Linked DNA regions of Cricetulus griseus. The protein of the gene in region 1 binds, or shares a complex with, the protein of each later gene. Links are inferred from orthologs where the notes say so. Each region holds a gene or a part of one and is shown on either strand. Other genes may lie near its edges.

Region 1 (3,215 bases):
TCAAAATGTTGAAATATATACAATATATAAAAAATAGTTGAGAGGCAACTAAGAGACAAAGGTGACGTGTACAGGGAGAGATATGTTGGGGATCTGAGGATCAGGAGATCCGGAAGTTATCAAGGACAGCGAGTGGGAGGGTTAAGAAGATAATGAGGGAGATGCAGGAAGGACTGACTGCCTTCAGTTGCATTGTTATCAGGGGGCTGCAGCAGCCAGCACGGCTCTCTCACTTGCACTTTTGGCTGCACAGACGTAGGTATAAAGCAGGTGATGTGTGTAGAAGTAGAATGGCGGCTAGGGATGCAGCTCCATCCAGAGGTTCAGTCCCTAATACTGTATAAATTGGGTGTGGTAAGGTACACCTGTAACCCAACGCTTGGGAGGCAGACATAGATGAGGTCATCCTATGCTAGTTTGTTCAAGGCCAGCCTGAGCTTGATGAGATCCTGTTTTTTTTTTTTTGTTGTTGTTGTTTGTTTGTTTTGTTTTTAAAATAAAAATGGCAAAGGCAGACAAAGCATCTGCAGCAAGGTGTTTATTATTGGAATTTAACTGAGGATAGCAAACAATGTAGAAAGGAAGTAAGATCAAAGGGTTTCAGGTCCTGGAAAAGGGATGGATTCCACATAATAACCTGAAGAGCCAGATTGTGGCAGAAGAACGGGATGAGACTGAGTTATGGAACAGTGCGTTGCAAGAGGTGGGGCGTGGCGGTGCACACCTTTCTCCCAGCACTCAGAAGGCAGGGGCAGGTGGATCTCCGTGAGATTGGGGCCAGTCTAGTCTACACATCAAACTCCAAACCAGGCAGGGCTACATAGAGAGGCCCTGTCTCAAAGAGACAGAGGAGGGAAAGAAAGAAGAGATGCTGCACCACCTCCATGCCCAGCGGTACATGGATGTGAAAGACTCACCACCAGGCGTTAAGAGAAGCAGTCTTTCCGAAAAACTAGGTCTCAGCGCAACGCTGTGAAGACAACATTTGAAAAAGAGGGTGAGGATATATGGATTTTACAAATGGCTGATAAGTTTCAGGAGTTTGGAAGTGGGACAAAAAAAAAAAAAAAAAAAAAAAGATGGCAAAGCACCTGGCTGCCAGAGGCTAAAGAGGAGCTTGGTAGTTCAGGACCTCTTGTGGCACTATATATGGCATGATATCTACAGTTCTGATGCTTGTATTGGTGCTGAGGTGTTGTACATCTCGGGTGCCTCCCAGATACTGGCCAGTGAAGTGTTTGAAGGAGTACATTAAATGAAGTTTAGGAAGGACAGGAGTTTTAGTAAAGTTATGAATTGGATCTATTTCCAGGTCTTTTTAAGGGATATCCTGAATACCCCTTCAATGAATGTGAACACAGTTTGTTAAGTGTAGAGGCCTCGGCACAGGACATGACACTAAAACACTATTAGTTAGGAGACTATTGTTAAAGGGATAGAAGGACAGCACCCACGACTTTCTCCAAGTGGCAATCGTCAAAACTATCTGCACCATCAACCAAGTGCTACTCTGACCCTCACCAGCTTGTCCACTGACCTCACCAGTAAGAATTTACCCAGCACTCACTCTGTTATTGGTCCTAAAAAACACAATCCAGTTGTCAACGTACAAAAACAATCTCTTTATTTCAGAGTCATCTTGGGGTTCCACAGGAACCCTAAGCCTTGTGTGGGGTCCATACACTAGCCAGAGAGGAGAAGAGTCCATAGTATCACCAAGATTCACTCCCACATCAGCACTCCACTTGGCAAGCTATTCTGGTCCTGTTAGTGTTGTTAGTCCCTCCACGTCACTTCTACTTCATCTGTCCTGTACCTGTGGAAAGCAGGAAAAACCCTGTGACTACCTGTTTGCGCCATTTTTTGTTGTTTTGTTTTTGAGACAGCATCTGTAGCCCAGGCTTATCTCAAAATAAAAATCCTCCTGCCCTGGCCCCCACATATTGGGATTACAGGTACATGCCACCAAACCCATCACCTACAGCTTTATCTGTTCTTTGACTTTTCTACCTGTTAATTTCTACCTGTCTCCTGTACCTACTATCTACTTTCTCAAAGGAGGATGTCACTCACCTCTGTGTAATTCCAGACTCTCTGAGAGGGGTCCTATGTCCAGCTTGAAACATCTCCCAACCTGCTTGGGCTATCATGGCTCCATTGTCAATGCAGAATCTGGGGAAGAAGCAGTAACAAGACTTGTGGCCTAAACATAGAAAAACCGTAATGATGGGAACAGAAGAACTCAAGACAAAGAGAAGGACTTCACCTCTCATCTGTGGCAAAGAGCTGGGCTCCCCGCTCCTGGCACATTGCTGCCATCATCTCCTGCAGTCTCACGTTACCTATGAAGACACAGGAACCACAGATAACTTAGATTTGGCCATTTTGCTATCAAACCAGTTGTGCTCCCAGGACAGTTTACCAGAAGACTAGGGAAGAGGGTTGTGAAACAGTTAAAGAGATGAAACAGGTAACCCTCCAAACTCTGGTAATGTAGCGTTTCAGGAAAATGACTCTCAGGACTAGGAGGAAGGCACACTGCCCAGTGACACATACATCCAACTCCTCCTACGATGAGGGCTTCCTTGGAGCCACAGTGTGCCATGGCTCGCTCTGTGATCTCCACTAGCATTGCAAACACAGTTTCCTGTGGAAGACAGACAAGGGGGAGACATCAGAGCAGCATCCCACCTTAGTTCAGCTCTACTCTAGACTAAGTTTTGCATCCCAGCTTTTCACTCTTTTACCTGTAAGGAGAAACACAGGTCTTCAGGAGTACATTCCCCTGTGGCCAGCATTTTCTGCGCTACATCCTGCAATTAAAGGGGGGGAGACAACCCAAAGGATGAATACCGACATGAGGCTTTCATGAAAACAAAAATTCCTGCACTTGAAAGGATAGCTGACTTCATTACAACTGACATTATAGGAGTGCTGCACCCCACATCATCTTCTTTTGTTAATTTTTATTTTCAAGCCTTTTTCCCATGTAGGGAGGAACTGTTTTCCCTATAATATGTAGTGCCCGGTACACAGAAGGTATACAGTACCTGCTACATAATCTATCTAGCACCTATTATGAGTGAATGCTTAGGTAAGAAATAAACAGTGAGCAAAGTGGACACATCACTTTTAAAAGCAGGGGTGTGCTCCTGTCTGGTTACCACTCTCACACTCACCTCGATGAAAGACAGAATCCCTGAGAATGAGACATC
Region 2 (4,325 bases), on another chromosome or scaffold:
ATCCACACTTCACTCCTCTGTGTGTATATGTGATGTGTATGCACAAACCATAGCACACACAGAGGTCACAAACTCATTGTAGGTCTTTACCTTCCACTTTAAGAAAGCATCTCAGCTGGGTGGTGGCGGTGCACACCTGCAGTCCCAGTACTTGGGAGGCAGAGACAGCTGGCTCTCTGATTCAAGGCCAGCCTGGTCTACAGAGTGAGTTCTAGGACAGCCAATGCTACTCAGGGAAACCCTGTCTTGATCCCCCCTAAAAAACAAACAAACAAACAAAAAAAGGGGGGGGGTAATGTATCTTTGCATACACTATGCTTCCTGGCTCTATTCCCTAACTCACTGCAGGGAGCAGGGAGCAGGGAGCACTAGGATTATGGGCACATGGCAGTACATGGGTTCTTGAAGCCAAACTCACAATCCCATGCTTGTGCAGCTCTACCCACTGAGCAATCTCCCCAGCCAAATACTTTATTCTACACAATGAATACTATTCAACAATTAAAAGAATGCTCATGTTTTACTCTGGTGATGGGCAGTTGTATTATTTTGATTTCACAGCTATTAATGAACAGTGCTACTACAATTATTGAGTTTTGGTATAAACATATTTCCAATTAACTTTGGAGAACTAGTGGTGTAACTGGGGTACTATAGTTTTTGCCTGCTTGCCCTTACTCTGACTAGCAAGTTCATCTATCTATTCCTGAGACACCTCTTTGCTGGTGTTATAACCTACTTTGCTGGGACTCCAGCACCAGATTAGGAATGCTGAGGCATCCAGTCTCAGAGACTGAACAATTACTGGATCCTTGGTGTTTCTGTAAGGAGAAAGCCACTGTTGGACTATTCAGACCACAGGCTGTAAGGGCACTCTAACAAAGATATTCTATCAATAGGTTTTGCTTCTTTAGAGAACCCTGACCAATGCACCTAGCTAATACTTTATTATTATTATTTTAAATTATTATTATTAAATAATAATATTATTATTATTTCAAGACAGGATTTCTCTATGTAACCCTAGCTGTCCTAGAACTCGTTCAGTAGAGCAGGCTAGCCTTTAACTCACAGCCTGCCTCTGCCTCCCGAATGCTGGGATTAAAGGTGTGCACCACAACCATCCCCAGATTTTACTTACTGTTCTTCTTAATGACAGTCAATAACCCTATTATAAAGAACAGTACAGTTTAATCTCCTCTGTAGAAGAACTGACTCCTTAGCTCAGAGTAATGAAATCTCTTTTGTGTTCAAGATTAAAAATAAAATTTAACAAAGGTCAGGTTTGGTGGTGCATGTCTTTAATTCCAGCACTGATGAGGCAGAGGCAGGCAGATCTCTGCGAATTCAAAGTCAACCTGGTCTAATCCAAGGCCAACCAGTGGTACCCTGTGACACTGTCTACAATTTTTTTTTTTCTTCTATTAACAGAGTTGGGGCTGGAGAGATCAGTGGTTAAGACCACTGCCTGCAGGGGTTCTGATGCCCTCTTCTGGCCTCGGAGCACACTGCATAGAGCAGTGGTGCACAGACACAAGTAAGCGGCAGGCAAAACATCCACCTTGTTAAAAAAAAAACCAAAACCCAAAAAACTAACAGTTTATTTCTACAACAGTAGAGGGGGTGAATGATAGTAGGGGCTAGAGGAAGGGAATGGCTGTGGTGAAACTTTCTTTTGACCATGACATGGCTCGGACACAGGGGCAACAACTGTGGTTACCTGAACGAGACGGCAACCTCAACAGGGGCTCATTGGGTCCCATCCCGCCCGGAGGAGTTTTTGACAGTTAATGGGTGCTGGGGGAGGAGCTGACGTTTTCTTCTGTGGTGTAGTCACCGCTGAGTTGCCCTTGCTCCAGTAAATAACCATCCACCCCTTCTCATACAAAGAACCTTAAACTCAGTGAGAGACAACAAAAAGGAAGGCAGAAAAGAAAGCGGCGTGTGTGTGTGTGTGTGTGTGTGTGTGTGTGTGTGTGTGTGTGTGTATGTGTGAGTGTGTGTGTGTGTGTGTGTGTGTGTGTCATCGGGAATGGTTCAAGCAGGGGACGAAAGAGAAGGAGAAAATGACCACAGCGCATTACATGCACGCATGAGACTATCGGTGACTTTAAAACACACACCCACACCCACACAGCAAAACCGAAACCCCCTTATACTTTCAAAAACAGACTCGAGAAAGGACCCTCTGAGGGTTAAGACTCCCCACGACACAGTCGGTCTCGACCTTCCGAAGCTGTGCCCGCTGTGCCAAACAGGTTTCTAATTTCACACCTGGGGAAGACTCCCCCCCACTGGCGCCACGGGCCGCCCCTTAGGTCTTCCTTCCAGCTAGCAGCGACTGCAGACCCCCAGCCCAGCCCACCCCCCACGCCCCCAGGCTCCACTCTGCGGGTCTCAGTCCTCCGCGCCCCGCAAGACGGGAGGCGTCGGGCTGACCCGGCTCCCTGTCCAGCCCCCAGGCAAACGCTCGCCACGCTCTTCTGGCTGAGGTGAAGGAAGAGTCGTGGAAAACGCGGGGCAGAGAGGGCCAACCGTTTTCAGATGCGAGCCTTCCTGCTCGCCCGCGCCGGCCGGCCGGCCAGACTCGCTGTGCCAAGGCTGCCAGCCCTTCCCTCACACAGCCGGAGACCCCGGCGCCCCGCGCTCACCCTCCTCGGCGTCCTCCGGATCTGCCGTCACGCCCTGCGCGTCCCGCTGCTCCACGAGGGGCCCGAAGAACTCGGCTACCAGCTCCCTCATCCGGGCCACACCCGCCGACAGGCTCTGGAGAGGGTCCGCGTCGCCCGACGCCTCACAGGACACTTGCAGCCGCCGGGGCTCGCCGTCACACCCGACGTACTCGCCCGTCAGCTCCATGGCGACCCCTTCGCTTCAACGGCGCGCCACAGAGAACCGCCACCCGGAAGCGGAAGCCACCCCGCGGGCCGGCGCGGGCGGGAGAGACGGGTAAAAGGCATGACTTCCGACTCCCGGCACCCGCCCCGCCCATTTTCTTCCATCTCCACCTTTACCATTGGCTGCCTGACGATCAGGCCCCGCCTCCTCGCGACGCCCCCCCCGCAGGCGGTCCCTTTTCCCGCCTCCGCCTGGGCCGCGCCGCGGAGCGCTGTGACAGTTGAGGATGGCCGGAGCGGAGAGCCCCGCCGGCTGCCCGGCGGAGCTGGAGCCCGTGGTGTCGCTGGTGGACGTGCTTGAGGAGGACGAGGAGCTGGAGAACGAGGCGTGCGCCGTCCTGGGCGCCAGCGACTCGGAGAAGTGCTCCTACTCGCAGGTGCGCGCGGCCCGCTGCACCCGCCGTTCTGCTGCTTCCCGCCCGCGGCGGCGGCGGCGGCGGCGGCGGCCGCCCCGGCTCCAGGGCTGCCCTTCACCCCGGGCTTCCACAGCCCCGGCCGGCCCTGCGGCCCTTTGATCCTCAGCTTGTCGCCAGCAGGGCTCTCCCTCCGCCCTGCCCGAGGCTCTCTGCAGGCTCCGGTCCCCGAGCAGCAGCAGCAGCAGCAGCAGGAGCAGCTCTGCCCTCCTCGTTGTCGCCTCTTGGTGGCCTGCTTTCCACGAGCTCGTCCTCGTGACTTCTCAAACCACCCCGATATTCTTCGCCCCACTCCTTCCACTCTTAAAGAAGCTTAATTGGGCACCAGGTGGGGGGGGGAGGGTGAGCAGAGCTAAAGGGAAGTGGGCTGGATTTGAAAAATGTGCCCGTGCAGTCTAGTTTAACTGCTAGCTGGTTTCTTTCTTTCTTTTTTCCTTCCCGGTAAAGTTCCGAGTGTATGTGTTGTGTGACAGACACCCCTTCTCCCTCCGGAGTAGATCGGAACCAAAACATCATGTGACCCTGGAAAGCCGAGAGAGGAGGAAAGGATCTGCTTGGCGCCTGTGCGACCTTGTAAACAAGAGTTGTTTGAGGGCCGGTGATGTAGGGTTTAGTGACGCATCCCGTACATCTAAGTACAAAAGTGGAGAAGGGTGGGTAGGAAGGCACCAACAGGATGAGAATTGGTGGAAGGAAGCAAGCTAGCTATGCCCGTGGGTGGAGTGGAAGACTGGGGAAGGAGGGAAAGAACTTGGAGTTACTGTGTGGTGTGGACTAAAGTCATAATGCTATTTGTCTTCGTTAACCAACTTGGGTTTGCACTGCAAAATTGTTGGGTTGTGGAATTAAATCTTGTATCCCAGAAATAGTCGCAGATGGTCACTGGCATTTAAATCAAAGGATCACCACTAAGACACACCCCACTTCCTTGGAAGGAGGAAAGAAAGGCTCCAAGCCTCTGTGTGAGCTGTTTCTTAACACCATTATCTTTATAAAATGTATTAACTAAGCATTT

What was found.
Region 2: Osgep (region 1) and EKC/KEOPS complex subunit GON7-like share a complex: the UniProt entries of both Homo sapiens proteins name them as parts of the EKC/KEOPS complex. The link is inferred for Cricetulus griseus from reciprocal best matches to the Homo sapiens genes OSGEP and GON7.

What each region holds. Positions count from the first base shown.
Region 1 is NW_023276807.1:206,592,186-206,595,400, forward strand, and holds the end of Osgep (probable tRNA N6-adenosine threonylcarbamoyltransferase), read right to left. Parts: coding exon 3,180-3,215; intron 2,814-3,179; coding exon 2,748-2,813; intron 2,648-2,747; coding exon 2,557-2,647; intron 2,343-2,556; coding exon 2,267-2,342; intron 2,173-2,266; coding exon 2,074-2,172; intron 1,817-2,073; coding exon of another isoform or gene 1,777-1,816; exon of another isoform or gene 1,599-1,776; intron 971-1,598; coding exon 817-970; 3' UTR 524-816; downstream 1-523. UniProt on the Homo sapiens protein: Component of the EKC/KEOPS complex that is required for the formation of a threonylcarbamoyl group on adenosine at position 37 (t(6)A37) in tRNAs that read codons beginning with adenine.
Region 2 is NC_048598.1:103,312,543-103,316,867, reverse strand, and holds the start of EKC/KEOPS complex subunit GON7-like, read right to left. Parts: upstream 2,922-4,325; 5' UTR 2,860-2,921; coding exon 2,652-2,859; intron 1-2,651. Other genes in the region: putative E3 ubiquitin-protein ligase UBR7, read left to right, coding at 3,125-3,274. UniProt on the Homo sapiens protein: Component of the EKC/KEOPS complex that is required for the formation of a threonylcarbamoyl group on adenosine at position 37 (t(6)A37) in tRNAs that read codons beginning with adenine.